Alligator mississippiensis: one gene and its partners. The protein of the gene in region 1 interacts with the protein of each later gene in a biochemical or structural test. Links are inferred from orthologs where the notes say so. Each region holds a gene or a part of one and is shown in the gene's direction. Other genes may lie near its edges. The genes, in order: NEDD4, PMEPA1, UBE2E1 and GABARAPL1.

Evidence for each region.
Region 2: the proteins of NEDD4 (region 1) and PMEPA1 form a complex in vitro, tested with the Homo sapiens proteins (2 studies listed by BioGRID, with this or other methods). The link is inferred for Alligator mississippiensis from reciprocal best matches to the Homo sapiens genes NEDD4 and PMEPA1.
Region 3: the proteins of NEDD4 (region 1) and UBE2E1 form a complex in vitro, tested with the Homo sapiens proteins (7 studies listed by BioGRID, with this or other methods). The link is inferred for Alligator mississippiensis from reciprocal best matches to the Homo sapiens genes NEDD4 and UBE2E1.
Region 4: the proteins of NEDD4 (region 1) and GABARAPL1 form a complex in vitro, tested with the Homo sapiens proteins (2 studies listed by BioGRID and IntAct). The link is inferred for Alligator mississippiensis from reciprocal best matches to the Homo sapiens genes NEDD4 and GABARAPL1.

What each region holds. Positions count from the first base shown.
Region 1 is NC_081834.1:25,833,964-25,841,891, reverse strand, and holds the start of NEDD4 (E3 ubiquitin-protein ligase NEDD4), read left to right. Parts: upstream 1-4,926; 5' UTR 4,927-4,983; coding exon 4,984-6,534; intron 6,535-7,928. UniProt on the Homo sapiens protein: E3 ubiquitin-protein ligase which accepts ubiquitin from an E2 ubiquitin-conjugating enzyme in the form of a thioester and then directly transfers the ubiquitin to targeted substrates. Specifically ubiquitinates 'Lys-63' in target proteins.
Region 2 is NC_081832.1:9,061,399-9,068,358, forward strand, and holds the start of PMEPA1 (protein TMEPAI), read left to right. Parts: upstream 1-3,959; 5' UTR 3,960-4,123; coding exon 4,124-4,229; intron 4,230-6,960. UniProt on the Homo sapiens protein: Functions as a negative regulator of TGF-beta signaling and thereby probably plays a role in cell proliferation, differentiation, apoptosis, motility, extracellular matrix production and immunosuppression.
Region 3 is NC_081828.1:148,073,140-148,080,015, reverse strand, and holds the start of UBE2E1 (ubiquitin-conjugating enzyme E2 E1), read left to right. Parts: upstream 1-3,859; 5' UTR 3,860-3,944; intron 3,945-4,209; 5' UTR 4,210-4,274; intron 4,275-5,100; exon of another isoform or gene 5,101-5,259; intron 5,260-5,333; 5' UTR 5,334-5,361; coding exon 5,362-5,513; intron 5,514-6,876. UniProt on the Homo sapiens protein: Accepts ubiquitin from the E1 complex and catalyzes its covalent attachment to other proteins. Catalyzes the covalent attachment of ISG15 to other proteins. Mediates the selective degradation of short-lived and abnormal proteins.
Region 4 is NC_081827.1:146,477,956-146,485,814, reverse strand, and holds the start of GABARAPL1 (gamma-aminobutyric acid receptor-associated protein-like 1), read left to right. Parts: upstream 1-4,837; 5' UTR 4,838-5,041; coding exon 5,042-5,131; intron 5,132-7,859. UniProt on the Homo sapiens protein: Ubiquitin-like modifier that increases cell-surface expression of kappa-type opioid receptor through facilitating anterograde intracellular trafficking of the receptor. Involved in formation of autophagosomal vacuoles.

The sequences.
Region 1 (7,928 bases):
TGGGTCTTGAACATGCTCAGGAGTGGGGTCTGTCTCTCCAGCAGTTTACCAGGCTCTCCCTCCTCCCATCCATACAAAGGAAAAAAACCACAGGACCTTACAGAGCCTTTTTCACCCTGTGACCGTCTCCTTTGCGGTGAAGTTCCTTTTTTGGCTGACTTCCACTGCTCCTTTTTGCTGCGGGTCGGCAGCCAGTGTCCCTGGGTTACTGTTACGGTTCAGAGCCTGACTGCCGGCCAGCAGCTGGCTCCTCTTTCTCCAGAGTGGCCCTTGTCTCTCCAGCTATGTCTTTCCTGGGGCTGTGTTTTCCGAAGCTTCCTGCTCACTCCTCTTCATGCCCATTTCCGATGTGCCTTCATCTCTCTCCCCTGGCCTCTAGGTCGTGCCCCAGTGCGGGTTCTGGCTCCGGCTCGGGAGCATGGTCAGAAGCTCCGAGCAGCTGTGGCATGTTCCAATCGGGACTGAGCAGCTGCTGGAAAATCACATCTCCCCTATCGTCTTCCCCGGATCCCTCATGGCTTTTCTGTCCATCTCCAGTGAGTTCCCTGCTGCTGCCAAGTCAAGCAGGGTTTTTTAAATTTTCCTCACAGTAATGTTTGATGAAGTCCTGACTATTTCATCTGATTACAGCAAATTCAGCAAACAATTCAGCATCAAATGCACCATCTTTACATGTGTACCTACAACCCTTCCCAGCCGTGGTTGTGTCATTTGATGGTGGGAAGATCTGGGTAGCTAATTATCTTGCCCCTTCCCTCCCCAACACTTGCACCCAAATCAAAGGCTTGGGGCTCTTTTCTCTGTTTAATGGGGAAAATAACCTTATCTTGGATTTGAATAAATATGGTAGATGAGCTCTAAACCAGGCATGTGAGAAAATGAAAGTTTATTAAAGCAACTCTCCTTAATCTGAATACTGGTTGGTATAAATGACTACTACTTACTTATAGAGCAGTTTAGTGTTGGAGACATGGTATACACAACTATATGACAAATAAAGTCAGACAAGGTTCTTTGGGTGAATCTGATATCTTTTATTAGACCAACTTAAATAGTTGGAAAACAATTATTAGGCAGGCTTTCAGGTTCAAAAACCCTTTGTCAGGCTAAGGAAGTTTCAGCAGTTGGTGTGTGTTCTTCCTGGATGGAATGAAAAGTAAAGAAGCCAGCAGCTGGGCTGGTATGCATGCAAGACAGGTAGTCAGTGAAAATGTAGATTGAGGAGTCAATTGGTGAGAGATGGGCTGGGGAGGGGCAGGGGAAGAGAGAGAAGGGGGATAAAAGTGGAGAGATACCTGGGAAGTCAGATGTCAGGCAGATGATAATGTGTCATAAATCCAATGTCTATATTTAGTCCATGATTTTTAGTATCCAGGAGGTTGATGAAGTTGAGTTCATAGGCTCATCTCTGGGAAGTGTTGTGTAAGTTTCCTTTGAGGATCAGGACTGAGAGATTGGGGAGAGAGTGGTTTTCTTGTGAGAAATGTGCCCCCACAGGTAATTAGGTATTTCTGTCTTTGGTAGATTTCCAGCGTGCGTTCATTCTGGTGCGCAGTTATTGTTTGGTCTCTCCTACGTATTTTCCATCATGGCATTTGGTGCATTGGATGAGGTATATTCCATTTCTGGAGGTGCAGCTGTAAGATGCAGGAATGGTGATGGCTCTGTTGTGGGGTGTAGTAATTGTGGGGGTGGTAGAGATGTGTTGGCAGGTTTTGCATTTCTTGTCATGGCACGGTTTGGATCCTTTTGGTGTGTTCTGGGCTTGAGGAAGTTTGCTTCCGGTGATGAGGTTAGCGAGGTTCGGTGCTTGTTTGAAGGCTAGGATGGGTGGCTCTGGGAAGATCTTTTTAAGAATAGGGTCTCTTTCTAGTATGGGTTGCAATTGTTTGAGGATTTTCCGTACAGGTTCAAGGGAGGGGTGATATGTCATAACCAGCGGTGTGCGATTTGTGGGGGTTTTTCTTTTGTACTGCAGCAGTTCTTTACGTGGTATCTGGGTGGCTCTTTCAAACGTGCGATCTCTCTCTCTGGAGGAGTGTCCTTGTTGGGTGAAAGCCTTTTTAAGATTGGTGAGGTGGAAATCCCGGGTGTTCTCTTCAGTGCAAATTTGGTGGTATCTGAGGGCTTGGCTGTATATCACAGCTTTTTTGGTGTGTTTAGGGTGATTGCTGGTTCTGTTCAGATATGTACGTTGGTCTGTGGGTTTCTTGTATAACGTGGTCTGTATTTTATCATTCTGGATACTGATCATCGTGTCTAAAAAGGAGACGTTGGTGCTGGAGCATTCTAGAGAAAGTTGGATGGAGGGATGGTGATTGTTGAATTTCTGATGGAACTCAGAGATCATAAGTTTTCAGTCCACATGATGAAGATGTCATCGATTATATCTTAAGTATGGCAAGGGTTTGATGGTGCAGTTCTTGAGCAAGTCTTCTTCTAGGTGGCTCATAAAAAGGTTGGCATACTGTGGGGCCATTTTGGTGCCCATAGCTGTTCCCATCATGACAAATAAAGTAGCACTGACCAGTATTATAAGTGTTGCAAACATTCCTGAATATGATATTTGAAAGACTGATCTTTAGCATTTCCTATTGACTTCAGCAGGCCAGAATTCTGCATCAAGAGCCATATAATTTTGGTCAACTAGGCCATAATGGAGGTCCTTTTTTAAATAGCTAAGTTGACTAAAGGACGTCATGACATTTGGCTTAAATTTGACACCCTAGTTGGTGAAACTACTGTCAGCTTACTTCTTCTCCCATTTTACCATAAGTATAGGGGAAAAAATATTTAAAATTGTATAGGCATGGAGAAGGGGAGGGGGAAATGTTGAGCCTAGTACCATCCCTCAGATCTTGTTTCGAAAACGGTTGCGCTCTGGTAGGTATTTAAAATGCTGTTTTTCTTTGAATTAAAATTAATAAACGTTAAGGTGCTTATAGAACCACTTTTGCTTCTGTAAAAAATGAAATCTTCCTGCTTTCCTTCAAATCTTGAGACTTGAGGAAAATAAATTGCTTGAAAACTAAACATAGCTTTCTAAAGCTGTGAACAAAAAAAAGCTTTTGGGGGTCTTTGACCTCTTTTCCTCCTCTTAATGTTCAGTTTGAAGAATTCTGGTTAGTGATACCTGAAAAATAGCTGAACTATTGTATTTTGTTGCCTTTTTTATGAATTAGCTAGCATGTATGTATTGTTGCATCTGTCAACTTTGGATAATGAAAGGGTTAAATGAGCCCAGGAGTATTATTAAAAGATAAACTTGTTTCATTTGAATAATGTACTACAGACACTTAATTACTGGTTTCTTGTGTTGGGAGAAGGTAAAATTTAATTTTATTGCATGCAGACTGAAAATACTGTAATGGTTAAGTAAATATTGAGTAAGAAAAAAAGCCATCAGTATGACCTATTAAAATATATATATAAATGGTCTAGTGTTCTCTACTGTTTGGACTTTATCAACAGCAGTAAATAATCCCATGTTAGCATGGTAGGGTTTAGCACTGCATGATGCATGGCTTCTGTATTCAGAAGTACTTTCATGAACGGACGTTTACCTCAGACGCTCGTAGTAACAGTAAGAGTGTCAATTTTAAAAACCTCCACCAGGTGCCAGCAAAGGGCCTTTTTGGTCTACATGATAAACTGAAACACTCAGAAATTGTCCAAGTTAGTTCAGTTTTACATTTTTGGAAAATACTGCCAATATGTTTTTGCTTGGTTACAGATGAATTGTTATATAAAACAATCACTTTTACATGAGCTAACTGTGAATATAACTTAAAAGTCTGCATACAATAATTGTTATAGTGTAGCTTGGAAGCCATCTCTTTCCTGTCGGTTGTACCTATTGGATTGCACACTTGTACTGCAATTGGGAGGGAAAAAATACATTGTGAAATTCAGATTTATGTCTGCTTCTGGATGAATAGCTACAAACAAACTTCAGGAGTCGACATGCCACTAAATAACCTGGCTATCTAACCTTTTTTAAATATCCAAAGAAGCTAGTGCCGATCAGGAATTGCTGGCCAACAAACCGGATATTTCAGTTTGAAATGTATGGATTAGGAAAAGTGGATGATAATGCTAACAAAGCACAGCTTTGACTTGGAAAGGGGTTGGATGTACACATTTCAGAAAAACATTTGGAACCTTGAATGGTAAATTATAAAGTGGACAGTTTTATACTTAATTTTAACTCTTCTGCATCTTGCTTAAAACAAAAAGCTAACTAAAACGGTAGAGGGCTCACCTAATTGACAATCAATGTTATGTATGATTACTGAGTAACTTTAAGATTCCTGAAATAACTTCTGTTTTTTTAACCTTTTATTAATACAAAATTGGTTAGTTTTATCGGCATATGCCAATATTCAAACTTTCACAAGTTTTTTAGCATGGCTACTATTTGGAAATTCAATGCTAGATTTGGTACTCTGTTATATGGGACTTCATTCCTACCAACTTCCTGTAATTCTAAACCTCTGGGTAAAAATATTAGTAGTCATACGCTGCTGAGGGAAAGTACGGACAAATTGACTCAGCTAGTGTAGCTGCAGCAGGAGTTGCTGTTTTAAACTTGAAGCATTAGGAGATTATTCTTGAGTTGTATTCATTTATGCAACTTACAGAAGGTATAATTGCAATACGCTTGGCAGTATTTGTCAGAATGCGGCAGCTGAGTTCAGTTTAAAGGTCGTTGGAACTCAAGTGCTTTGTGTGTATGCTCTCTGACTACAAGCAATCAGACAGTCCAGAAACTGCATTTCAGGGAATGGATGATTTATTCCAGGAGGTAATTTTTGTATAATAGTTAGTATCTTGTAGAATTTCGTACGAAGTCTGCAACCTTAATGGGCTTTTACTTTTGTGATGTACTTGAACTGGATCTAGATTCTATGAAGTTGCCTTAAGTTATTCTGCAGAAGGAGCTTTATGGTTTTCATTTGCTAACATGTGTAGAAATGAGTACAGATGGCACGAAGGTTAAGATTGCATTTTGCAGCCCGAAGAAGCAACACCGATCCACTGTCAGAAACCTCTGAAGATGACTTGGATAATAATATTTATATGCATTTCAAAAGATCTTCACAGAATTCTGCATCTAATGTCATAGAAATGAAACTGACTCCCAGGCAAGCAGTCTTTCCACCTGTAATGCAAGAAATAATTAATCAACAGCAAAGCGCAAGTGGTTCTTCGCTGCAAAAAAACAACAAAAAGAGCACTTCACTTCAGATTTCCCTGCAGTCTAGAAAGTACAGTGGATGTCTTCAGTCTGGTGATACAGTGGCTACTAATGAGGATTCATCATTCACTGGTGTCGGCAATGAAGGAAACTGTTCTGGGAGAAATATTGCTGATTATCCATCTAACATGATAAATACTACCAGCCACTTGAGCAGCACTACCATGTTGAATGGCAGTCTTGGCAGTATTGCAGCCAGTGACAATGGATCCTTCAGTAGTGCTGGCAGTGACTATGGATCATGCACAAGTACCACAAGTGATGGAGGTTCACACTGCAACAGTGTCCTTAGTGACAATAGTAGTTGCGCTCTTTCCACAGGTGATGGTATTTTTTATAATAGCATTGTGTATGATAACTCTTCGTATAGAAGAACTACAAACAAATATAATTCCTATAGGAAAGATGCATCTCAGGAATGTTTGTGTCGAAGTAATACTATTTTTGACCAAGATGGTTTGGAGCAAATGAAATTGTCAGCAAGGAGGAAAACTAAAGTTCCACTAAGACGTTGTTCATCATTGGTAATTTTCCCTCGAAGCCCTTCCAGTACTCCACCAATGTCTCCAACAAGCTCAGGTCCTCCACCACAGAGTGTGGCATATCAGACCTCACATAAACTAGTTATTTCTCCAAGTGACCTAGCACAACATGAAAATCAAACTGGTAATAAGGAGTTTCTTTCAACAGCAGTCAATGGACTTCGACTCTCTAAATCTGCTTTTTCTCCTGGTGAGGTTAGAGAGATTAGACCACTTTACTTGAATACTTCATTACAGGCCAAAAGTCAAGCCACAGATAGTTCTGAGCAGGCAACTTGTGAAGAAACATCTGATGGCTTCTCTTGTATTTCAGTTCACCTTACTCAAAAAGTATCTACATCAAGGGATGAAATGGTTAATAGTTGTGGCAGTCCAGAATCAAATCTGAACTCTAGTGCAGAGTGCCCTCATTTAAAACTGACACATAGCACATCTGCGTGTTTACCCTCAAAAAGCCATTCAGAATATCGGATTAATGAAAACGAACTAAAAAGACCTAATATTCAAATGAACAAAACCCACCATTTTCTGCAAAGAAGCATGTCCTTAGAAGGTTCTTGCCAGAAAGTTTCTTGCTATTTATCTAGCCTTAAATACAAGTGTCCTAAGGCAGGGGCATCTCACTTGCACATACAGTTTCGACCTGGGAATGAAGGAAAAACTAATGGCTTTAAAAAAAGAAATGGAATTTCCAAAAGGGAAATGTGTAACAGGACTTTGTGGAAGCCCCTCAAGGTGAGTAGTTTTAGATTAATGAAAAACTGACAGGAATCTTTTCCAGGGGAATTGTAATTAGTAAATTGTTAAGCTTTCTTTTTCCCTCACAGCATGAACACAAGCCTTTTATGAATGTTTATATTCTTGAAACAGTTTGCAATAGTGTATTTTTAACCTAACTTTCAGTTGATCTTTCCTAGTGTCTGGCACTTTTGGTGAAAATTCTTATGGTGACATGCTTCAACTTTTAAATCCTAACTCATTTCCTATTTACTTGGTTTTTCTTTCCATCTGGTAATTAGGTCTTAAAGTTCTCCTAGGGTTAGCTCAGATCTTATTTTAAGCTTTAAATGTATATGTTTAATATATAGAAATAATTTTACTGAAATATCTGGACCTAAAATGGTTAAGAATTAACTAGAGTACTGTGGAGTCCTTCAAATTTGTTTCATATAAACTTTATTTTGCAGAAACAGCTTGCTGTCTGTAGAATTAAAGATAAGTAATATTTGAACAGAGGAACTGTAAATACCATTTGTTTCTGTTACACCCTGAACCACAGGAATTTTAAGAGTTTCCTCCCCTTTTTTTCTCCAACCACTAGTTCAGCTTTAGCTGTGCACTTTAACTTAATATCTTTTCCAACAACATTGCTGTCCACATTATGGTACTTGGCTTTGGTAGTCTTTATATTTAAAAATATTATTTGGTAATAAAATGTGTTTAAACTTCAGAAATTTGTTCATTTTAATTAATTCATGATGTAGCTTTCACACACAGGCAGGTTACGCCACAAGAAATCCAGAGGTGGGTGGAGAGAGTATCATCTGCTCTTTTACGTCACTCATCTTACAAATCTTCAAACTGTACAGTGTGCTTAGTTGTAAGCCTATGCTGGCAAAAAAATGCAATAATTTGACACCTCTTGCAAAAACGCATGACCTGAAGTTATAAATAAACGCTAGTTTTAATTATTTTTGCTACCTTGTTGATGTAAGTGAAGGGAGCTGCCAGTGATTTACCAATAGTGCTAATCTGGAGAGTCAAAATAGAATTTCCAGGCAATACAGTCTTGTGGACCTTGTTTATTTCACTGTTTTCAAGGAAATTATTGCTTAGTTAGTGCCAATATCAAGAGTCCTTTTTGTACTTCTTATTAAAGTTAGTAAGCGTAAAGTGAACACTTTATGTATATGTATACATATGTGTGTTCACTTTACGTTTACATTAAGTGTACACTTTTTATATAGATATATAGATATTTGTTTAAATTGCATCATCAAAATACAATGGAACAGAATCTGTGTGTGTATTGTTTTGGAATATCTTTGGGGAGACAGGGAATGTTCATGCCAGCACTGCTATTTTAAATATTTTGTTTTCAAATATTCCTTAATGTACCTACTCTTTTG
Region 2 (6,960 bases), on another chromosome or scaffold:
TTGGCATCAGAAGTCAAGTGTTTTATTTCCAGGTAGGCTGTTTCAATTCAAGCACTTGCAACCATATTTAGACACCTAAAACAGTGTGATTTTCAGCGATGCTTATCTTCATCAGCTTCCGCTGACTTCAGCCGCAGTTGTGGGTGCTCAGTACCTCTAATTTTGAGACTTACTAGCACACTCAGGTGCCTAATTTAGGTCACCACCAAAGTGTGAAAAATTTGGGCTCCCTGATTTGTGAAGTCATACAGGAAATCTGCATTAAAACGAGAAATAAAACACCTCTGCCTTACAGACTCCCAGCAATAGATATTAACTGCAGGCGCTATCTCCTTACAGTTTTGTGTTCAATATTATTTTCCATGAATTCAAATACGTCTTTCACTATGGAAGGGAAGGTCAAGTCAGCTGGCAGATAACTTTCCTTGGCCATCTCTGGTTCTATAATAATTCATATCCATTTAGACCCACACTTGTTAGAAACCACAATGTAACCTCTTAAAGCTGCTTTGCTCTACAAGATGCAGTATATCCCCCGCTCTTCACACTGAATTAGTAATTGTTGGAGGTAACTTTTAGTGGATGACACAGTATAAAGATTAACTAACCTTTTGATAACATGATCCTTTTCGCTAGGCATTTTCCTTAGGGGTTGATGGTGCTAAAGCAGCCTCTGAGAAGTATGCAGACTCATTTAAAATCATTTTTATAAATAATCAAGTTTTTAAAAATCCCATTTTCTGTGGGAGGAAATAAAATTTCAGACTTTCCAATAAATAATACTAGGCTTGACTTGGAGACACTCTCCACCCTCCATGATTTCTATGACTTTGCAGGAGATTTTGGTTTTACATATGCTGTTCATAGCTTTTATCCTTATTTAGCACTATATTCATGGTAGCATCTCTAGGGAGTGTTGGCCCAACTGAAGACCCTTTAACGACTTCCAAATACTAAATCATAGCTATCAAGAATTATGGGAAAATATGCTTTCTTAGAAGATAACTGAAGCTGTCTTTATCTCCCAGTAACAGGATTCACCAAGTATTATAGCAGCTTCTTCGCACCACTATAGTTAAGCTTGTTTCAGCATTTTCATTATAAACCCCTATTTTCACAGGTTTATTTCTCAGCAGAAAAAAAAAAATCACTCCTGAATAAAACCTGGCACATAAGCACTCAGTGAGGGAGTGAAGATTTTTTTTCCTTTATAGCTGCCTAAAAAGGAAATGGGATTGGTCATCTTCAAATTAAATAAAAATAGAAGTTTATCTTTCTGGAATATTTTTTGAATTTTGTGCACGCAAAACAAATGCTAGTTCAGCTGAAAAAGCAAAATCTGCTTAGCAATCAGGGCAATCAAGCCCTAAAAGGTTTTTCTGGTGCATTTGGAGAGAGAAACAGAATTTCTGATGTCGCAGCAGCTCCCATTCAGAAGGATTGGGAAAGGCACCATAATGCTTGACAGACTCAACACTGCTCGCCATTTCTGTCAACCTTGTAAGTGTTACAGAGTCATGGCTTGCACTGCAGACCGTGGGCAAGATTGAGATTTGTAATTCATTCAGAGCCTGATCCTTCTGCGGGGGTAACAGCAAAGCCCCCACTGACTTCAAGGAAGCTTTTATTTTCCACACCTCTGCGTTCCAGCCCCTCGTGTACAACTGTCCATAGGAGTAAATCTACAAAGCCAGAAGGAGCTCATTATACTGTAGTGTCCTAACCATGCTATCAACCAGTGAGTTTTTCTCTGAAGAAGGGACCAAACCATGTTATAGCACTGTGTTAAAACCCTGAATGAGTTAAGGACAACAGGTTTAAACACGGCCACTGATCTGGCATGCATCAGTTTTGAAGTGTCTGAACAGACCCGTTTTTGGTCCGATTTTCAAAGGCGCTGAGCCCGCAATGAACTCCTTGACGTGCACGGGCTGGGCATCCCAAATTCGAAGGGCTTCCAAATTGGTGGTTGCTGGCTGGCAGCGTGGCTTTGCACAATCTAGTCAAAGATGTTTTAATCTTGCATGAGCATGCAAGACCCAGCCATATCATAACGTAGTTTGGCACATTGCAAGGTTCTAACACAACTTCTCTGACGTGCCAGACTTGCTTCTGTACATGGGGCTAATTAAACAACAAATTAAGCTGTGGCTGCATTTTTTCTCAAGGCATCTCTCAAGTGGGAGATTGGTATGCAGTGGGGCCTTAAAAAAAAGAAAAAAAATTATTATTTTTTTTACAGGTTTGAAGTCTGAAACGATTTTCTCTTCACAAGACAGAGTTTGGTGATATTAACCAAGAACCAAGAAAGGAGAGTTTGGGCAATGACACTCGAACAAAGCCATCAGCCTGCTGCGTGCAGCGTGGGGAGAGGTCCTCATGGGGAAAGGTATTTCATTCCCAGCACTAAAGAGGGAGGTTGGATGCACTACAAGGTGCATTTACACATTAGGAAAGGAACCGGAGCAGGGTCCTCTGGCACCACGCAGCCTTCACAGCGAACGCCAGGCTGTTTATGGCCCGGTTGTGCAGGCGCCGAGAGGCCTGAGTTGTGCTGCAGTGGAGAGGAGCCGTGGCAGTGGGGAAAAGCAAGCCATGCTGTTATGCAGCCAGGCTACGGGGTCAGCAGATCCTTGCAAAGAAAACTGTCCTAGAGCAGACGGTGGCTTGTCTGAGCCCCTCGGCTTGGGCAGTAGAGGGAGTTTGGCTTTCTGAAGGGGGTGGATTATTGGGGGCAACGTGCAGGGAGACCCCTGCCCCCAGGAGAAGCCACAAGGACGGGGACATGACTGCGATCCCCTGGCTGTGGAAGGGCCTCACTGGGGTTGGGGTGAGGGGGGTCTGCACAGGTGGCTGGGGCGGGAGCACAGCGCAGAGCCTGGGAAGGGCTCTCCGGGGGCAAGTCCTGCCACACCTTCCCACCGGATGAGCTGCTGCTGGTTCCCAACCAGCTCCTGGTCCCCTGCCCTTGAGCACCGGCCCTAATCGTACCCGCCCCCCCACAGAGCCCCTCTCATCTCCCCCTATGCAGGGAGAGGTGTGTGTGTGTGTGTGTGTGCGCACACACATGCCTGAAGGAGGGGGGCTGCTGCTGGGGGGGCTTGCATGCATGGGGGGGGAGTGTGGTCACATGCCTGCCTGCCTGAAGGAGGGGGGTGTGCTCCAGTGGGGGTGGGGGGGCTGCTGAGGGGGGTTTGCATGCTCCTGGGTGGTGTGTGTGTGTGTGTGTGTGTGCATGCTTGAAGTAGGGGGGGTTGCTGGGGGGGGGTGCATGTGTGTGTGTGTATATAAAGGAGGAGGGTTGCTGGGGGGGGTGTGCATGCTCCTGGAGGGGAGTGTGTGTGTGTGTGTGTGTGTGTGTGTGTGTGTGTGTGTGTGTGTGAAGGAGGGGGATTGCTGGGGTGTGTGCTCCCGAGAGTGTGCGTGTGTGTAAAGAAGGAGCGTTACTGGGGGGGTGTGCTCCTGAGAGTGTGCATGTGTGTGAGTGTAAAGGAGGAGGGTTGCTGGGGGTGTCTGCATGCTCCTGGTAGAGAGTGTGTGTGTGTATGTGTGTGTTGCTGGGGGGGGCACGCCTAAGGGAGATTGTGAACCGCTGAGACGCACTCACTCCCGAGGCCCGTGCTTCCCGGAGGAGGGGGCGCGCAACCCATTCCTCCCCCCACCCCTCCCAGGTGCGCGGCGCCTTTAAGAGACAACGCGTCCCCCCGGGGCGGGCGAGGGCAGAGCGCGCTGTGATTGGCCCGTGCAGCTGTCACTCACCCCTACCCCCCGCCCGGCGGGGCTGTGGCGAGGGCAGTCCCAGTCTAGCGCTGACGTCAGCGCGTCTGTCTGCTCCCCCCAGCGACACCGACTCCCCCCGGCGGGCGGGAGGGGAGGGGCGGGGCCGGGATCTTGCTGGGGCCGCGCGAGACGCGCAGAGCGGTGGCGGCGGCGGCGGAGGCGGGCGCGGAGGCAGCGGGCAGTGCCCGGGCTGGCGGCGGCGGCGGCTCCAGCGCGCTGCACGCGGGCGCAGGGGGCTGCCTGCCCGCTCCTGGCCCGCTCGGCTCCTGCCGCCCGGCCCGTGCTGCCTGCATGCGGGGCGGCCCGGGCCCCGCCGCCTCGCCTCGCCGCCGCCTCCTCGCCCATGTATAACTTCATGGGGCTGAACGGCACCGCCGGCATCGCCCTGCAGCCCAATGTGTCCTGCACGTGCAACTGCAAGCGCTCTTTGTTCCAGAGCATGGAGATCAGTGAGTGGGGCCGGGGGTGCGAGTGCGTGTGTAAGTGTGAGTGTGAGGGGGGCGGCTATAAATAGCCCTGGCCGAGCACGGGGGGCTCAGCTAGTGGCAGGGGCCCTGCCACAGCCTCTCCTCAAGGGCCGGAGCAAGGAGATTTGGGGCACTAGACACCCCCCTTCCTCCTCCTCCCTAACCCGCACCTGGAGGCACCGGTTCGCAGCCGGAGTCGCCGGCGGCCGCGGGTGTCTTTTGGAGGAAAGTTTTGTGCGAGATCCAAAAGTCACGCGTGGCCGGCGAGCAGGCGAGTGGGGCTCTCCGTGCGCCCCACATCGCAGTAAAGTTGTAGCCGGTCGCTCCCCGCCTGCCAGACTGCCGCGAGGGGCGAAGAAAGCCGTCGCTGTTAAGCGGCTTGTCCGGTCTGTGCACATCCTGATCTTTAATCTGTTGCTGCTTGGGATTCAGCATCTTTGTGCCGGAGCATCCTGGCATGAGCAGGGACGACCGCGCTGCGTCCGCGGGCGAGGGACCCGCCGGGCTCAGAAATCGCTTTTGCCCGACCCCGTGCAGAGTTGTGAGGGGTTTATATCACGAGGGTTATCCTCGCCCCTCTTGTTCCCTTCAGTGTATGTAACGTTTCCTTTTCAGCATATGTAAAATTTCCTTTTCCAATTCATCTTTTTTTTTTATATCGTCCCTTCCCCTCAGCTAATCAGCCGTAATGATGTTTTGGCTGACACCGAGGCAGTCTTGTTAATTTAGTTGTCTGCTCTAACTGTCTGCTCTTCCAAATAGACTACGTTTCTCACTTCGGCTGAAGTGATGCTCAGGAGATTTTGACCCATAAGGTTAGCGCTGTTAACACTTTGAGCCTTGCTTTTAGGTATCTTAATTAACCGCTCCATTTCAATGATACGCCTTCAATTATTGGAGGGCTGGAGGCAAAAGTGGAGCAAATATTTTGAAAACTCGTTACATTTTTTTAAAAATGATATTTTAAACTGCAAACGTGGAAAATCAGTGAGAGCATTGTCTGACCCAAATAGCCTGTACTTCTGTGTTGGATCACCCTAACAAACTACCTAGAAATGGAAACGGAGTTTTCTTTTTAAGGGAAGTCATTTGGCTTCCCCGGCTATTTTTAAAAATGCATTGCCTGGGCCTGATTATTTTCAAAGCGTCTCAGCCTGTGTGGCTTTTCTGCAGCCAGAGGGCTCATTTCTACTTGGGTCGACATCCAGTACCACGCAGCGCAGTCGTAACCTCTGTGTGCTAGTGCGTTTGGCGCAAAGTGGAGACTTGGGCATAATCCTGCTGTTGTTAACACCCCAATAGGGCAAATTCATTCCTGATGTAAGCATGTGAAAGTCAGTTGAACCCTATTTAATGCCACCGATTCCCATTGACACCTTAGGATTGGGTCTGTTGTTTGAGGCTGCAGAGCTGTGTTTTAGGGCAACTCTGGTCTTTAGCATTTCGGATAGTCAAAGCCTTGAATCCTGTGCCATCAACTATGCCAGCCATATTTTGGGTTGATTTGGTTATATATGGATTTTGGAAAAAATCTATAGGCATTCATAGAATGGGTACTAAAACGTGTTCAACCTGAATTGTAAAATAAACCATAGCCTTTGTACTGTATGCACTTTTAATCCTGATTTAATCTCATTCGTGTTCAGACAAAGCTAAGCTGGATTTGCCTGATTTTATTAACACTACCAGTACTGAATAGACCATTATTCTTTCTTGACTTTAACAGGCCATGCTAGATAGGAATACCAATAGAGCTCTACAAATTAAAAGATACAGATTTCTTTTTTTTTATGCCAGTCAGGGAGTGAATGTAAACGAGTCTGTTATCCCATGACATAAACCTGAGAAACTTTTTTTTTAGTTTAGGTCTGATCAGAACTGTGATAATATCAAAGTGGAATATTTTTGAAGAATTAGCATCCACTCTGTCTTTTGAAGAAACAGTCTTTCTTCTTCCAATCTGATCCTTGGCACAGGTTTCTTATTGGAACAGTCTGATCTTTTAATTTAATTGCTTGACTTCTTAGAAATACTATCCATTTCTAGATTTCCTGCAGTGTCTGAAAGGCTTAGTAATAGGTGCTGATTTTGGGGTGTGCGTATGTGTAACCAAGAAAAAACTTACCTATTGGAGGATCTCTTCCTTTAAAAAAGCTAGAACCTACTCCACGAGACCCTATTCTCTTTAGTCTGCTCTATCAAATCTCTGCACCACACAATCAGCTAGTTAACATCATGGTCCTGACCCAAAGTGGGTAAGTTTTCTTTTGGCTTAGGCTTTGGAGTAGGCCTTCAAAACTTTTACCACTATCTTACGTCAGTGTATTTGGCAGTAGCTTCCTTTGCTGAAATTAGTTGTTATTTCCTACGAAGCAAGAGTGGTTATATTGCAGTGGGGCTGGCTACACAAATGCTTCTTTTTACTTTGATTTAACAGAAAGGACAGAGTTGAGAGTCCATTAGATTCATTAGTTTAAAGTAGATGGCGGGGGGCAGCATGACTCAGTTTTGAAAAATTATTTGGATGGGGTCTGAGAACAGGTAAAACGAGATTCCGTTTAATTTTGCAGGTATGAATCTAGCACAGGACTGATGCAAGATAGTAGCATAGGTGCAAACTGCTTTCTTTTAATTTAACCCTCTAATTGGGTTAACTGTGAAGTTCATCTAAAATATTTCTGTGCATTTCTTATTTCAGGTGACAAACGAGTAT
Region 3 (6,876 bases), on another chromosome or scaffold:
AACTGAGCAGCAGGGAGTCATTCTAAGAAAGTATCTAGTGACACGATCCAAAGGGACTTTGATTAATCCCAATCATCTTCCTTTTGCAGAAGATCTAGCGTGAATTTGAACTGGCCAGATTCCTATGTGCATTCAGATCAATGGCCCCAAGGAAATGAGATTATTGTAATGTATTGTTGCAGTCTTCTCCAAGCTTGATGCTGAGAGAAAAAATGTCTACTACTATCCAGTTACTGCCTTTAGACAACTCCATGTGGCTAAGAAATGTGGGGCAAAATGAGAGTGAATAATTTGAGCTATCTTTCCTCCATTATTTTTTGGCCCTGATCAAAAAAAAAAGGAGAAGAAAGAACAGCAAATAAAGGGAAAAGAGACTAAAAGAAAAAGGATTGTAGGGAGAACAGTACAAAATGGAGCAAAACGTATTACAGAAACCAAAAGGAGAGGGGGAACAGCAATAACTGTTTAAGTGGAGGAGCTGTCTGATTTCTGGAGATCATACTGTCACTGTTGCTGGAGTGGTTCCCCAAATTATTCATAGGAATTTTGGCTGAAAAACCAGTCATACCTGTTTGGTGGATGAAGGATAAAGTATTTTTCCAGTACCAGTTCTGTGATCTCCAGACCAGGACTGCGAAGGCAGACAAAAAGGTAGGCTTCTAGAGCTGCAGGGATTTCACTCAGTGGATCAGCACCTTTGCTTCTTCTTTTCTCCCTGTTTCTCCTGTTTCACTTCCTCGTGTATTGCTAGAGAATCTGGCACGCCTGGTTGTGGAGAACTGTAAGAACTATGAACTGCCTCTGTTCACACCTAGAGGCAACCATTGGTGAGATAAAATGAAAATTCCTACTGCTGTAGTTACTGCAGTCATGGCAACACTGAGTGCACTCAGAGAGGACTGAAAACACATTTTTGGGTGGGTAACAAAACCTTCCCTCCTCCAAAATGTGACCAGCTTTCTCAATGATTACTGTGAATGGGACTGGGCTGGCATTGTGATAATTTCCATAGAGATGATTCTTCAGAATACACCTCTGACTTCTTAACTAATCAATTTTACGTGTGTGTGTGTATGTGTGTGTTTGTGTGTGTGTTGGGGGAAGGATCTCCAAGCCTTCTGCTGTAGAAGTGGAGCCCTTTCAGTTAGTTTAATTTCACTTTGGTTCTTGTCGTTAAAGGCTAATTAAGCAGGGAAAGGGACTCAAACCTTACTTTTTTCCAGTGAAAGTGAAGATTCTCTTTTAAAAATAGAAGTATTTGTTCTGTTAAAAAGTGGCTCAGAAAGGACTTATCTCCAAATCCACCAAGGACAAAATATGGAACACAACAAATGACAAAGACTCAAAGTGAAGGGCACCAAAAAAAAAATACAGGAAATTAAAGGCTATGGGCTTTATTGTCTTAGTATAAATGACTCTTTCTGTAATCTTGGGTTCATAATTCATTAATTCTGATGTAAAATTTACAACCATAAAAGTGAACAGATTCCAAGCCTGTCTAGCACACAGGTGACTTTGGGATTGACATGAGTGACATTCTGTGGAGGGGCACATTTGAATCGGTAGTGCTCAGTTTTTGCATGTGGCCCCAGCCACATAACATGAATTGGTTGCAAATTCCACATGGAAGGGGAAGTCTGTATCAACGCCGGCCTTACCTTCATTGGCTAAGGAAGGTCCTTAAGGCTGCCAGCAAAGATTAGCCAAAGAATTACCATACTTGATGCAGCCTTTATCAGTTTACCATTGTGGTCACTAGCAAGTCCTTATTAAAAGAACTGCCCATGAGGAGCTAGTTTACCTCCTGTACCGTTTCCATGTCAACTCCAGCCCCTAACGATCCATGAATCATAACATGATAACTATAAAAAGTCTTTTAAAAAAGGCAAAAGGAGTTTCACCTTTTCTTTATTTGGGAGCCTCAAAGAGGCAGAATTCTTGCAAAAGTAACCATAGGTCCTAGACTCAGGGCTAAGTGAATAAAGCAGTTAGAAAAGGGAACTGAGGGGAGGAAGCACATATAATAGAATGGAGAAGCAGGCCCATCTGCCTGTGGTACAGGGTACCCCAGGGTAGGTCCAGACAAGGAACTTAACACCAGATACTTAACTCCCCACATTCAAGTAAATTACACCAGGATAGAGTGGTATACACTAGAGTAACGGCTAATTATACAGGTGTAACTGTCTCATGTGCCCAGCCTGAAGTTTGTGAGTCATGGGAACGTTTGGATTACCCTATGGCAGTGGTGCTCAAACTTTTTGCTGCATGGACCGGGTGGCCAATGCCTAGTCAGTTCGTGTGCTGGATCTGGCTGGTGGACCCAATCCAAAGCACAGGAAAGGTAGAGGGGGACACAGTGGGGCCAAATTAGGTCATGCAGTAGTGAGATCCAGCATTTGGGGAGTGGGTGGAAGTAGGCCCAGCCCTCATCAGGAGGGAAGGAGGCATGGCCTGGCCTCAATCCAGCAGCATGGGGTTTGGGATTCTGGCAGCGGGGGCAGGGTAGCAGCATTAATTGCCACTGCTCCTCCACTGCCATGGTTCCCAACCTGTGGGGAGTCCTGTGGGCCAGATGTGAAGGCTCCATGGGCTGCATTTGGGAGAAAGGCTGAACACCCCTGTCCTTTGGCATTGAAGGGACCACCCCTCAAGGGAGACATTACTACATGTACTGAGCTAGCACATTACCTGAGACTGAACTTTCCTGGGAAAGTCAAAGCTCCATCCAAGTTCAAGTTCCATTTTGGAATGAACCATAGACCTAGGCACAGAGAAAATACATCTTTGGTTCCAGTTCTTCACCCTATACGTCTTCAGCTTTTGGTATGGACGTTCCAGAGCTCAATCCCCACCAACAGCAAGACCTGTTTCCCCTTTGTGTGCAGCCATGCTTTATTCTGCAAAGCCATGCCATTAGAACGTGAGACTAGGAGCCTGTTTTGCAGAAGTGTATTGCTCCTTGCCTCCAGGTAAAGGCAGGAAAAGCTGCACTCCTGAAAGCCCTTGAGGGATTGGAGAGCTGGTCTCTTGTTTTAGCATTGTCTTCTCATTCCTTGTGTGGCCTTAGATAGGTAATGAAACATATATTAAGTTGGTGGTAGTAGCCATACTCACAGTATTTGGCTGGAGCAATTCCTATCTATCTATCTATCTATCTATCTATCTATCTATCTATGGATAGACAGATGTTTTCTAGATAGGAATTGCTCCAACCACACATTCCAGCCAAGTACTAAAAGTATGGGATAGATAGATAGATAGATAGATAGATAGATAGATAGATAGATAGATCAGAGAAATGCAAAATCATCCCAGTAATGATGATGATGATGGGCAGTGGTGGCAAGACTCAGGCTTTTCCCTGCTTGCCACTGGAGATGCCCCATGGTTTCCTAGGGGCTCTCGATCTCCTGTAGAAACCAGGGCCACTGAGCCAAATTCACCCCCCCAATGAAGTCAAGAGGGATGAAGCGGGTCTGGAAAACTAAGGCAAGCTGCCTGGACTGTGCTGCCTTCTTCTCAGGTGCGAGGGCTGGCGGGTCATGTTCTTCCTCTCTCTCCAGAGTCACAGCGGCTGCCAAAGGGGGGGGTATTTTTTTTTCCCCCGGGGGAAAGAAGTGCAAAAGAAGACGACAGAGGACCAGGCAAGTTGCAGCCGATCTTCTCCCGCGCCCCCCGGGGCTGCCCCCTTCCTCGTGTCCCGCCGCGGACGAGCCCCGCGGTCGCAGCAGGCGCGGATGACGTCACGCGCGGCCCCTTCTTTTGTGCGCTCGTGATGTCACCGGGCGCGGAGGTGCGGACAATGGAGCCTGGGGCCCGGGCGGCGGCGGTGGGGGCCCCCCGAGGCTGCTGACGCTGTCCGAGGAGGGGACCTGCCGCGGAGCCAGGTGCGCTCCGGCGCCCCGCGGAGACAGGGGAGAAGTTGCTGCTGCTGCAAGCAGGTGAGGGGAGGGGAGCGAGTGGCATCAGCCTTGCAGCACCCCCCTGCCCCCCCGTCTCCATCCCCGGGGGCTGCGGGTCCCCCCGCCCGCGCCGTGCACAGGGGGCGACCCCCGCGTGTCCGTGTCCGGGCCCGGCCCCCCCGGGATCGCGGCGCGGCGCGGCGCGAGGGTGTGCGGTGCGGTGCGGTGCGGGGCGGGGGGGGCAGGCGGGGAAGCCATTGCCTGTTTAATAGTTGCTGTTGCAGCACTTCCGCTTCTCTCCCAGCGAGAGAGACACGAGTGGCCAGGCCCAGCCGCACCGAGGAGGAGCAGCCAGACACAAAGGGAGAGGTAGGGGCACGGGCCCCCCCCGCTGCCCGCCGCCCCGGCCCCCGCGCGGGAAGGGGCCGGGCCGGGGGCTCCGCGCCGCGGGCAGGGGCAGGGGCAGCGCCCGGGGCTGTCAGGTGTCGCCCCGCGCCCCCCGGCCCGGCCGAGGGATGGGCAGGGGGCCGGGGTGGCTGCGATCCAGCGCCCCCCATGCCTCCCCGGCCCCCTGCCCATCCGAGGGGGCTAACCTAGACCCCCGCCCGGCCCCCAGCACCCCGCTGGCTTTCTACAGGCCCCGGCTTCCCCCCGCTCCGGCATGCATCCCCCTGCAGGCCCAGAGCCGGCTCCCCCTCACACGCAGCCCCCCCCCCCCCCCCCCCCCTTGCAGGCTCCGAGTGGGCTGCCTCTTCCCCCCCACCACTCCTCTTTCACCATCTCTTGCAGGCACCCACTCTCCTCCTCCACCCCCTGCACATAGTAATCCTCTTTCCCCCCCACCCCAGACACTTTTTCTGGCATTGATTTTCCCCCCCCCCTCCCCTTCTGGGCCACTGGGGCGCCCCCTCACGCACACAGCTAAGCTGTTCATGGCCCCGTGCTGGAGGCAGGGGCTCTTGCCCTGGAAGCCTGTGACACCCCAGTCCCATTGTAGCCAGCTGCTGCTGCTGCTGAGCTTCCTTCCATTTCCCCCCACGTGCCTTTCAGCGCAGAAAGGGGACTGGAGACATCCCATTTACATCAGGGCTGGGCAGTAGTGGGTGGTGATGACTGGTCTCCTGTGTGTAGTTTGGGGGAGATTAGAAAGAATTACTGAGAGCTTCCCTAATCTTTGCTGTCGTCTTTTTCCTAGCCCCTCTCCTCTCACTGGGAGGAGGCGTTAAAGTCCATCCCCTCCCCCAGTATATTGCTGGTGCACTCAGACCGCTGCTGTGTGAGGTTCCTGTCTGCGGAGCCCCTGGGGAGGGGGAGAGAGGAGGACCCTTTAAAGAGAGCACAACCCAAACACAGAGTGAGATTGTCCGTTTCCTTTCTCTGTGTGTGTTCATTGTCTGTTCCCCACGCCCCATGGTGTTTCCTCTCCAGGTTTGGGGTGTGTGGTGGGGGGGTCGCTATGTCGGATGACGATTCGAGGGCCAGCACCAGCTCCTCCTCATCTTCATCCTCCAACCAACAGACAGAGAAAGAGACAAACACGCCTAAGAAGAAGGAAAGTAAAGTCAGCATGAGTAAAAACTCCAAACTCCTCTCCACCAGCGCCAAGAGGTGAGACTGTTAGCAACAAAACACCGCTTCACTGCTGTCTCTTTGCTTGTCCAACTCTTCTCTTTGCCTCCCTTCTATTGAGCATTAATCACTCCTATTCATTATGACTGGAAATTATACTTTCAACCTCCCTCACTATCTCCACGGAGCAAAGAGCACCTACACACTATTAATGCTTCTGTTAGCCTCTCCTCCTCCCAAGCATTACCACAGTCTATATTCCTTCTCAGCAACATCCTTCTTCTCCATAGTTATTCCTCTTCTCATCCCCTTTCTTCATCATAAGTATAGAGAGCCAGAATTGCATACAAGTGTAATTCTTGGGGGTTTTTTTTGAACTCTGTGGCCTTAAGCAGGCTGTTTAACTTCTTCATCAGTTTGCCCATCAGTAAAATGGGGATGACGGTTGATTTTATAAAGCATTTTGAGCTCTCCTATTGAAAGGGCTCTTACAAGGTCACCCCATCAAAACGTTACTTTCCTGTCTCCACGTCACTTGCATTCAGTTCTTGTCTATGTTGGGAAATTGACCCAAAAAACTCTTCCACTACTTAAGCCAACACTTTAGTCTGAAATAATTATTCTGCTCATAGGCGACTGGTAGGCGGTTCATGGGGGTCTGACACCAACGCTGTTGGCAGAGCTGGTGCCCCCTCTGACAGGGCCACCACCACTGGTGGCTTCTGTGGGTGCCCCCCTGATTCAGGAGGCACCAGTCACTCATGATTCTGCAGACAAAACATAGTATTTTTTCCAGAATATTGTTCCCAGAAGGGAGTCATACCAGAATAGTTAAATTTATTCTAGAACAGTGAGCCTAGAATTGCTGTGCTGGTCATTTTTTCCCAGTAGTCAGACCCTTAAAGCTAACTCACTTCTACAACATTACTGCTACCCTCTCTGCTCTGCTTCTCATCTTACCTGAATTTGCCACCACCATGCTCCCAAAAGCATGAAGAATGGAGTTTCCAAGTAAACTTCCATTACTTCTTCCACAAACAGAATATTCCGTCTAGTTAATGGCTTTGCCATGCAGCAGCAAAAAACTTCCCAGCTGTAGATGTCAACAGCGTCTGGATTTTTGTCGATTTTTCTATGCTTTCTCAGCTGATGCCGGTCTGTCACAGCCCAGACTTTTGTGGTGTTTAGGCAGTTGGTTAGGCAGAACTCAACAGAGCACATTTACTTAGCAGTCACCTAGCCAGTGGCAACGAAGTTTCTTGTAAAGCCTGCTGATTGTAAATTGCCTAATATAAATAGGCTGTGGTTCTCATAACATGTGACAAATGGAAGAAAAGGCAAATGAGAAGGAAGGGAGGCTGGCTGTATGGAGGGGGTAGATATGGAAGTGAGGTCTGAATGG
Region 4 (7,859 bases), on another chromosome or scaffold:
AACCTTGTAGTGTTTTTTTCCTGTTACATGAAAAACAACCTTGCTTTGTATTGTTGCAGGAAGAAAGGGAGAATCCCACTGGGAGCTTGGTTTGGGGAGAAAAATCCCTAACTTTTCAACAACAATTATTTTATTGTGTTGTTGAACAATTCTTATTGTTGTTTAGTTACAGAGAACTAGCAAGGTTTGCATGCTTGGCACAACCCTGCCAGAGTGAGGGGGAGGGTTTGGGAGGGGAAAGAGGTATCAAGTGCAGGGAGAGGTGGGGAGTCTTACCTGTCCCAGGGACTCAAAGTCCCTAGTGGCTGCTACTGCTGCTATACCAGCAGCACTGTGTCCTTGCACCCTGCTGCTAAAACAGTGCCAGGGAGCTACTGCTGTCACCACAGCAGGGACTCCACAGGGAGTCTACCATTCTGGTGTCCCCTCAGAGTCAGTGCCTGGGGCTGGAGCCCTGCCTACTCGCACCTTGTTATGCTACTGGTAGAGAGGTACAAACAGTACACTAAGGTTCATTGTGCTATGCACTATGCAAAAAACAACAAGGAGCCTGCCTCTGCCTCAAAGTCTTTACAGTCTGATTTGAGCAGACACAGAAACTGACTGTGACAAAGAAAAGGAGAGCTGGAGGAGGGAAACCAGACTAATGAAAACAAAACCACATGGCTTAGCAGTTGCATAACTAATATCCATCAGTTAGAACAGAAATGGAGTGAAAGTTTGCATCAGGAAGAAATGTCACACTTCCCTCCCTCACAAACATGTAAAGAATCAGTCGAGGAGGTACATAAAATATGACAGCTCTGTCAGTTTGCGAAGTCTTGGGGAATGGAAACTGTCTTCATCCAGAAACCAGGTGGTCGTGGGTGGAAGGTGCCTGGTGGGCCTGAAACCTGCTGAGGATTCCATCTTTATTGCCAGTTGTGAGTGCGGTTTGCTAGGTGCAGCAATGGGGGATGCACATGGTACTAACAAAAAAATCTGTTTAAACATCCTGTGTAATTTTAGCTAGAAGGGAGACAAACTGATTGGCCATATGGCTTTGCCTTCACTGCAGAGCTAACTTGAGCCCTTATTCAGCTGCTGTCCCTAACACACCTCTTGTACACACACACACACACACACACACACACACACACACTCCCTCCCTGCTGGTGTCTGATGGTGCTCTCAAGCCAGGCTGTCTGGCCCAGTGGAGATGTGGGTCAGCGCCTGGGTGGTCTTTCACTCACACCGATAGCCAGCCTGCTACCCATGAGGATGCAGGTGAAGCCACCTGAGTGCTGATAATCTTTCAGTGCCTTCTCACAATTTCCCCCATGCACTCAGAAAGACAAAATTCCCTGGCAAAGAGTCAGAGAGGGGGCCAGGTTATCACAACACCAACATATAGATGACATACCTCCAGAGGTCCTAGTAATCCACACAAGGAGCATTACAGTAACTTGGTGGAGCTTTGCCATATGGCTGCTCACTCCAAAGCAAGGCTTCAAGCAGGGTGCTCAGAAAATGATTAGGATTAACTTTGCAGTGGAAGCATAGCTTAGAGAGGCAGCTAATATTCCCAGTGGCTCATTCCTCCCTCCCATCTCCTGCTTCCTTTCCCTCAGGTGCTTAATTCTCAGCCATTTCTGCAAGCACAGTATCAATAGTAATTTAATCACCAGGCACAACAGGAGGCAGGAAATCGAACCAGGCAGGGTAGGTGATGAGTTACTGATAAATTCACAAAGGGTTCCTATTAAAATGTCACTTCTTTGGCATGTGACAGATGCTTCACCTCAGGGGTACATGTGCTGCAGTGAGGAACAGGAAAGACCTGGTGAATCAAGACATGTATCCTCCCACATAAACAAACTAGGCATTTCATAATGCAGGAGGGACATAGCACCAGCTAGCAAGGTGACATTGAACTGCACTTTGCTAAGTGATTGAAGATATATTCCAAGTTCAGCTCATGGACTTCAAAGGGAAAAGGGAGCATGTAAAGGATCTAGCAGTAGTCTGCACTGGGGAAGTTTTTTAAGTGCCTGACTTTTGGTACAAACTGGACATGACAAAGGATATGCAGTGTGTTCTTCATTTTTAATAAACCTCAGGGATAAATTAACTGTGGTTTAGCAGCATCTCTCCCATTTACTCTACCTGTATCCATGAGGCAGTGAAGACACCATGTGGGTGCTGTATCTGGGGCACACAGGAACATCATGTCTGGAGTGGGGTACCTGCAGTGCCCCAGGCATCCTCGCCACCTTGCTTTTGGAGTTGGCATGCATGGGATAGGAACAAATGGGCAGGGCTCACTGCTTTAGTATTATGACCAAGCCCCCTGCCACAGGGAAATATGAGCATGGGTCTTTGGGTTCTCTTTGTGGCTATACCATGAAGTTAGAGTTCAGCTGGGGAAAAGGCACAATCATCCATCGATGCCACAACATCCTCCGACACCCAGCAATTTATATTACCACTGATCTCACTTACACATAAAAAAAAATAAAGCTGTGCAAATCAACCTTGAAAAAGAGACCCACTGGTCTGTGGCAAGAAATGTAATGAGCAAGTTGATAACATTTTGATAGGAAAGATCCTTAGACTTCTCATTATCATCAGAGCAACAGGCAAACAAGTAAGGCTGGTGCACATGCTGCAAGACTGACAGTCACTGATCTGAACTGGCTAGTCCATTCACTCACTTTTTCAATGGGGAACAGCTAAGGAACCAGCCCAGATTCCTGGAATGTCTCTGCTGTTTGTACCTACTGAGTGACTCAGATGAATAATGGCTAGCCCATGTCTTGCTCAGAAGCTGCTCACTTCAAAGATTTCCTTTATGCAATTGGTCACCTCAATAATATGAAGTAGCTTCCGTGCCCTAATGGGATAACCTGAATTGTTGACGTGGGAATAATCCGTAACAAATAATGAATGAGGAACACTGGCTAGTAATCCCTCCTACTTGAGCCAGCAGGTTCATCCATAGATCTCAAGGTACTTAAAAACAAACAAACCAACCAACCAACCAACCTTCCCAAAAATTTAGTATCATCATCTCCAGTTTACAGAGAGGGAAGCTGAGGCCAGGGCAGTGATGTCATCAGCCTAAACAAGTCACACACACAGCTAGGAACAGATCATAGAATCGTAAAAAATTTGGGTTGGAAGGGACCTCAGGAGGTCATCTGGTCCAACCACTGCTCAAAACAGTAGATCATCCTAGCCAAGGCCTTATGTAGCCAGGTCCCAAAAACCTCCAACAACAGACAGTCCACAACCTGTAGAGCATGGTAGATCCTCTGTCAAAGCTAGAGTTCAGTACCTCATCTGCTAAGCAATAATGCCTCTTTCCTCACTCATTCTCAGACTAATTACAGCTCTCCCTAAAGCATAAAAAGCCTTCCTGATTGGCAGAGTCCCAGAAGAAACAGGGGCACCTATCCAGGCAGAGATGCATTCGGGGGCAGATTAAGATTCATTAAGGGCTTGTGCTCAGGGTCCCACCTTATCTGTGCTCTGCCCCACAGCTGCAGGCTCTGTCCCTGGCCTTCACAGCAGGAGCAGTGGGCTGAGCAGGACAGCTGCCCCCCAGGCTTGGAGCAGGAGCCACAGCCACCCCTGCCCACAGGTCTGTGCTGGCAGGAGGTATATGGATCCACTGCTCGCTGAGCACGTGCAGCACCAAACAAGCTCCAGCGGCAGCCCCTTGCACCACCGCAGCTCAGTCCAACTGCAGCAGTGCCCAGCAAGTGGCACCCAGTAGCCACAAGTGTTTCATCGGCACCGAGGCAGGGATCCCTGGGTCCGGGCACAGCTGGCCTGTACATTAATCCACCTATGGATGCATTAAAGCCCCCAGGAAGACTCACGGGCTCATAAAGGGCCATTATGCTTGGGAAAAGATTTCCCAGTGCTTGCTTCCTTTTGCCTGGCTATGCAACCGGCTGCCCTAACGGGCAGAGGCCACAGCCAACTCCCATGCTGGCACCAGGCTTCTGGTCTAGAGATCCACCACGGGGTGCGGGGGCACAGCTGGCAAGGGGAAAATCCCTCTTTCCCAGCAGCTCAGCTCAAGCCCCTGGGAGTGATTTGCTCTCCTCTTCCCCGGGAAGTTGCTGCTGGAAAAGGCTGCAGGTGCGTGACTCACACTGCGATCACAAGGTTTAGAGGGAGGGGGCACAGCCCCCGCCAGCGCAGGGGCAGGGATGGGGAGGGGAAAAAGCTACCCTATTACAGTGTGCTAAGCCCAAGGACACGCGCCTCCGGGCTCCGCCTGCGGATCCCGCCGACTCACGCCGGGCTCGGGCCTCTGGCTGCAACAACAAGGCGGGAGAGGAAGGGAAGGGAAGGTGGGGAGAGCAGAGGCATTGCCCCCCCAGCTGCGAGGCACCCAGGGACCGGGGCCAGCAGGAAATCTGGCTGCTGAACAAGGGCAGGAAACAGCTCTGCCACCAGCCGAGCTCTACAATGCCGCTACGCTACGCAGCGCAGCGCAGCGCCGTCCCGCGCAGGAGGAGAGCGTAGCTTGCTGTAGGAGTGCTTTGTAGCAGTGGAGTGTGGACCAATCCATTCCAACACAGCGAGGGAGGGCGACTTCATCCCCAAAGCATTATGGCACGGGACAAGGGGTCACGCTTGCAAGGACGGAGCACAGTCCCGGCTTCTACATGCAAATTTGCATACCAATACATAGCTATAGGCAGCGGCGCCGTTCCTCTGGCGCTGCCACATCCTTCATACCCATAGCTCCCCCCCCCTCAGTAATGGAAGTGCCCAGAACGGCGGAGGGAGGGGGGGGTGGCTTCCTGTGACGTCACAATGCCCCGCTCATTGGCCTGGCTGTTTGTGTATCCCGCGATCAGCTGGCGTTCGGGGCGGGGGTGGTTGCGGCTACTGTGCCAGCGCGAGAGCTCCGGGGCCTGGGGTATCTGGGGGCGCTTTGGTGACACAGCAAACAGGTTCAGCTGGGGGAAGGGCAGGAAGGGAGGGAGGAAAAGCCACAGAAAGAAGGAACCCAGCCAGGTCCAGCCAAAGCCAGAGGAGCGAGATGAAGTTCCAGTACAAAGAAGATCATCCTTTCGAGTACAGGAAAAAGGAGGGCGAGAAGATCCGAAAGAAGTATCCGGACCGAGTCCCCGTAAGTGCCCCCACGGCCCGGTGTCTCTGATGGCAGCAGCCGTGGTCGTGCTGTGGCAGGGTGCTGAGCTTTGTTTTACCCAGGGGATTATAGATTTGAGAGAGAGAGAGAGTGTGTGTGTGTGTGTGTATATATGTGTGTGTGTTGGGAAGGGGTAAGGATAGGACTGCAGGCTCTGCTTGCTATTTTTGTGTTGATCTGTTTTTAAATCTTCCTTTCTGTGTACTGAACCGCTTTTCTAGACCTGGATCCTAGTCATGTTACTTAGACATCTAGATCCAGGTCTATAGGGTTATATCCAGATGGAGATTTGTAGGCTTTGATGGGTTTGTACTGGTGATAGGGGGAAGCTGCCCCTCCTCCCCTCCCCCATCAGCCGCAGCACTGTGGTAGGGTAAATGCTGCTAATCTTTTTTTATGGCAGTCTGTGTGCATGGGGTTGGGGGTGGGGAAGGAACCAACCATTTGCTCTACAAAAATGGAGGAAAGCATTGGAAAGTGGAATAAGGGGAATCCTTCGCAGAAAACTACACAATGTCATTTGGGTGTCTTCCCTTTATTTCTAAATAGTGTGCTCTCTTCCAGCCCCTCTTTTCAACTCAGTCTTGCTTCCTTCTTGCCCTTGGCTCTGAGAAATAATTGAAGCAACCCCACAATTGTTTGCCCTCCTCTGTAGTCTCCTTGTGGAAAAAGCCATTGCATAGAAAACAAGGTCATGGTCTCCCCACCACACTGCGCTTCCTCATCCTTACATCCCTTTGGAGAGCTTCTATCATTCTAATTATTAATAATAATTAAGAAATGGAAATGGTGAGCAGAACTCATTAGTAATCTTTGGCCCTTTTCATTAGATGTTTTCAAAACGTTCTTTCTTTTCATCCCCACTGGAGGCCTCTGTCCTAGATTTACCATTCAGGGTACAGCTTTCTAAAACAATCTGCTCTCCCCCATGGATCCAATGGGGGGAGATGGAGCATTGAATCATACATTATTTGCAGCATTTCAGCACCCTTTTATGAGAAGTCTTCTGGTTGCACTTGCACAAGTAGGAGCACAGGTGCATGGGCAGAGCTGTGTGCGGGCCACAAGGCTGGAGCAGCAGGTGCAGTATTGTTGCTAGTCAGGAGTGAGGTGATGGCTTCCATGTCTTTGGACCAAAATTGCAGGGGGCACTAAGTCAGGAGCTGTGAAGGAGCGTGAGCACTAGAATAGCAGGCTGTGCTGAAGATCATGATGGATGTGTCTGAGAGCACCTTGTGCAGCACTAAAGACCAGAATAGCGAGAGGTGAGGAAGGAGGTCAAGGCTCAGGGACACCAACAGAGTTGTGCGGAGGATCCAGGTCTAAAATAGCAACATGTGCCACAGCTTGAGACGAAGGAGAAAAGCCATGTGGGGAGGCCTATGTCTGGAGTAACAGGAAAAGGTTCCTTTGGCTGTGATGGAAATAACTTCCTGCAAATCACTGACACAGTCATAGAAAATAACCAGAAATGGCAGACAGGGCTCCCTGCATCATCCCTATGTCTACCCTTCCTGACAGCTGAATCCCTGGTGATGACGTCCCTTCAGCTGCTTACACTGCAGTGCCCTGGTGCATCTCAGCATTTTAGCAGAGATTAGACTGTTGGCACAGTCCCACATTACAGCAGATACCGCCCAGCAGTAGCTAGATCCAGAGATGACCTGTATTTACCCTTTGATATTTCTGCCCCTCCCCTTTGTCCAGATGTCTGTCTCTGTGTTTCTACAGTCAGGTTTTCAAACCTTTGGGATCAGAACCAGTGCAGAGAGTGAAAGGAGAGGAGATAAGGTTGCATAAATGGTTTGTGAATGGTGTGGGATTATTTGGGGAAGGTGGTAGGTCTTGAGAATGGATACCTGAGCCATGTCCAGACAAGTGTGGCCGTACAGTATATGGCAGTACAGACCACCCATCTGCAATGTCACGCACCTTGCATTCAGGTGTTTTCTCTTGTGCTGGCTTGCAGTGCAGGGGGTGGGGGGTTTGGACCCTGAAGATCCAGGGGTCAAAAAACCTGTGCAGAAATAAAGCAGAGCAGTGCACACGGGGACAGCGTGTGCTCCCCAAAACTGGAGCCTGGCCAGCCGGAGCCATGATCCGGCTGCCGGCCAGGCTTCAAACTGGAGGATCATCACAGCTGCAATTTCCTTGGCCCCCAGGACTCCAGGTGCTGGCCCCAGAAGCCTTACAATTGCTGGCCCCAGCCTCCCTTACCCCACCTGGGGTAACCTGCCACACATCAGAGGGCGTATGACACAGGCATTCTTTGGGGACAACTAGCAGTGGCACAAGGTGTCCTGCTGATAGCTGTGCCCAGGGAATGAAATGTCCATGCTTGTCTGAACATGGTCCTGGTGGTATATCATCCAGAAGAACTGGCTTCAATGGATATCTAGCCAGCCAAATCTCCACATCTTCTTACCTCCGTGCAAGTTGAAATCTCTCAACCTCTGAATTGCACCACTTTCTGGGGCTTGGTCACCCCCATATTATTCCTTACTTACCCTGAGGCCTACACTCCTCTCTCCCCAAAAGTCATCTTTAGATTCACCCTCCTATGTCAAGTTCATTAGTTCACTGTTGTTTTTACAAGTTTCTCCTCTTCTTTAGTCTGGAAAATCTTAGGGAAGAAGTCATTCACTCCAATGTTCTTTCCCACTTCCTCCCAGATGGCACAGTTCCATGTAGTAATGCCACTATTCTT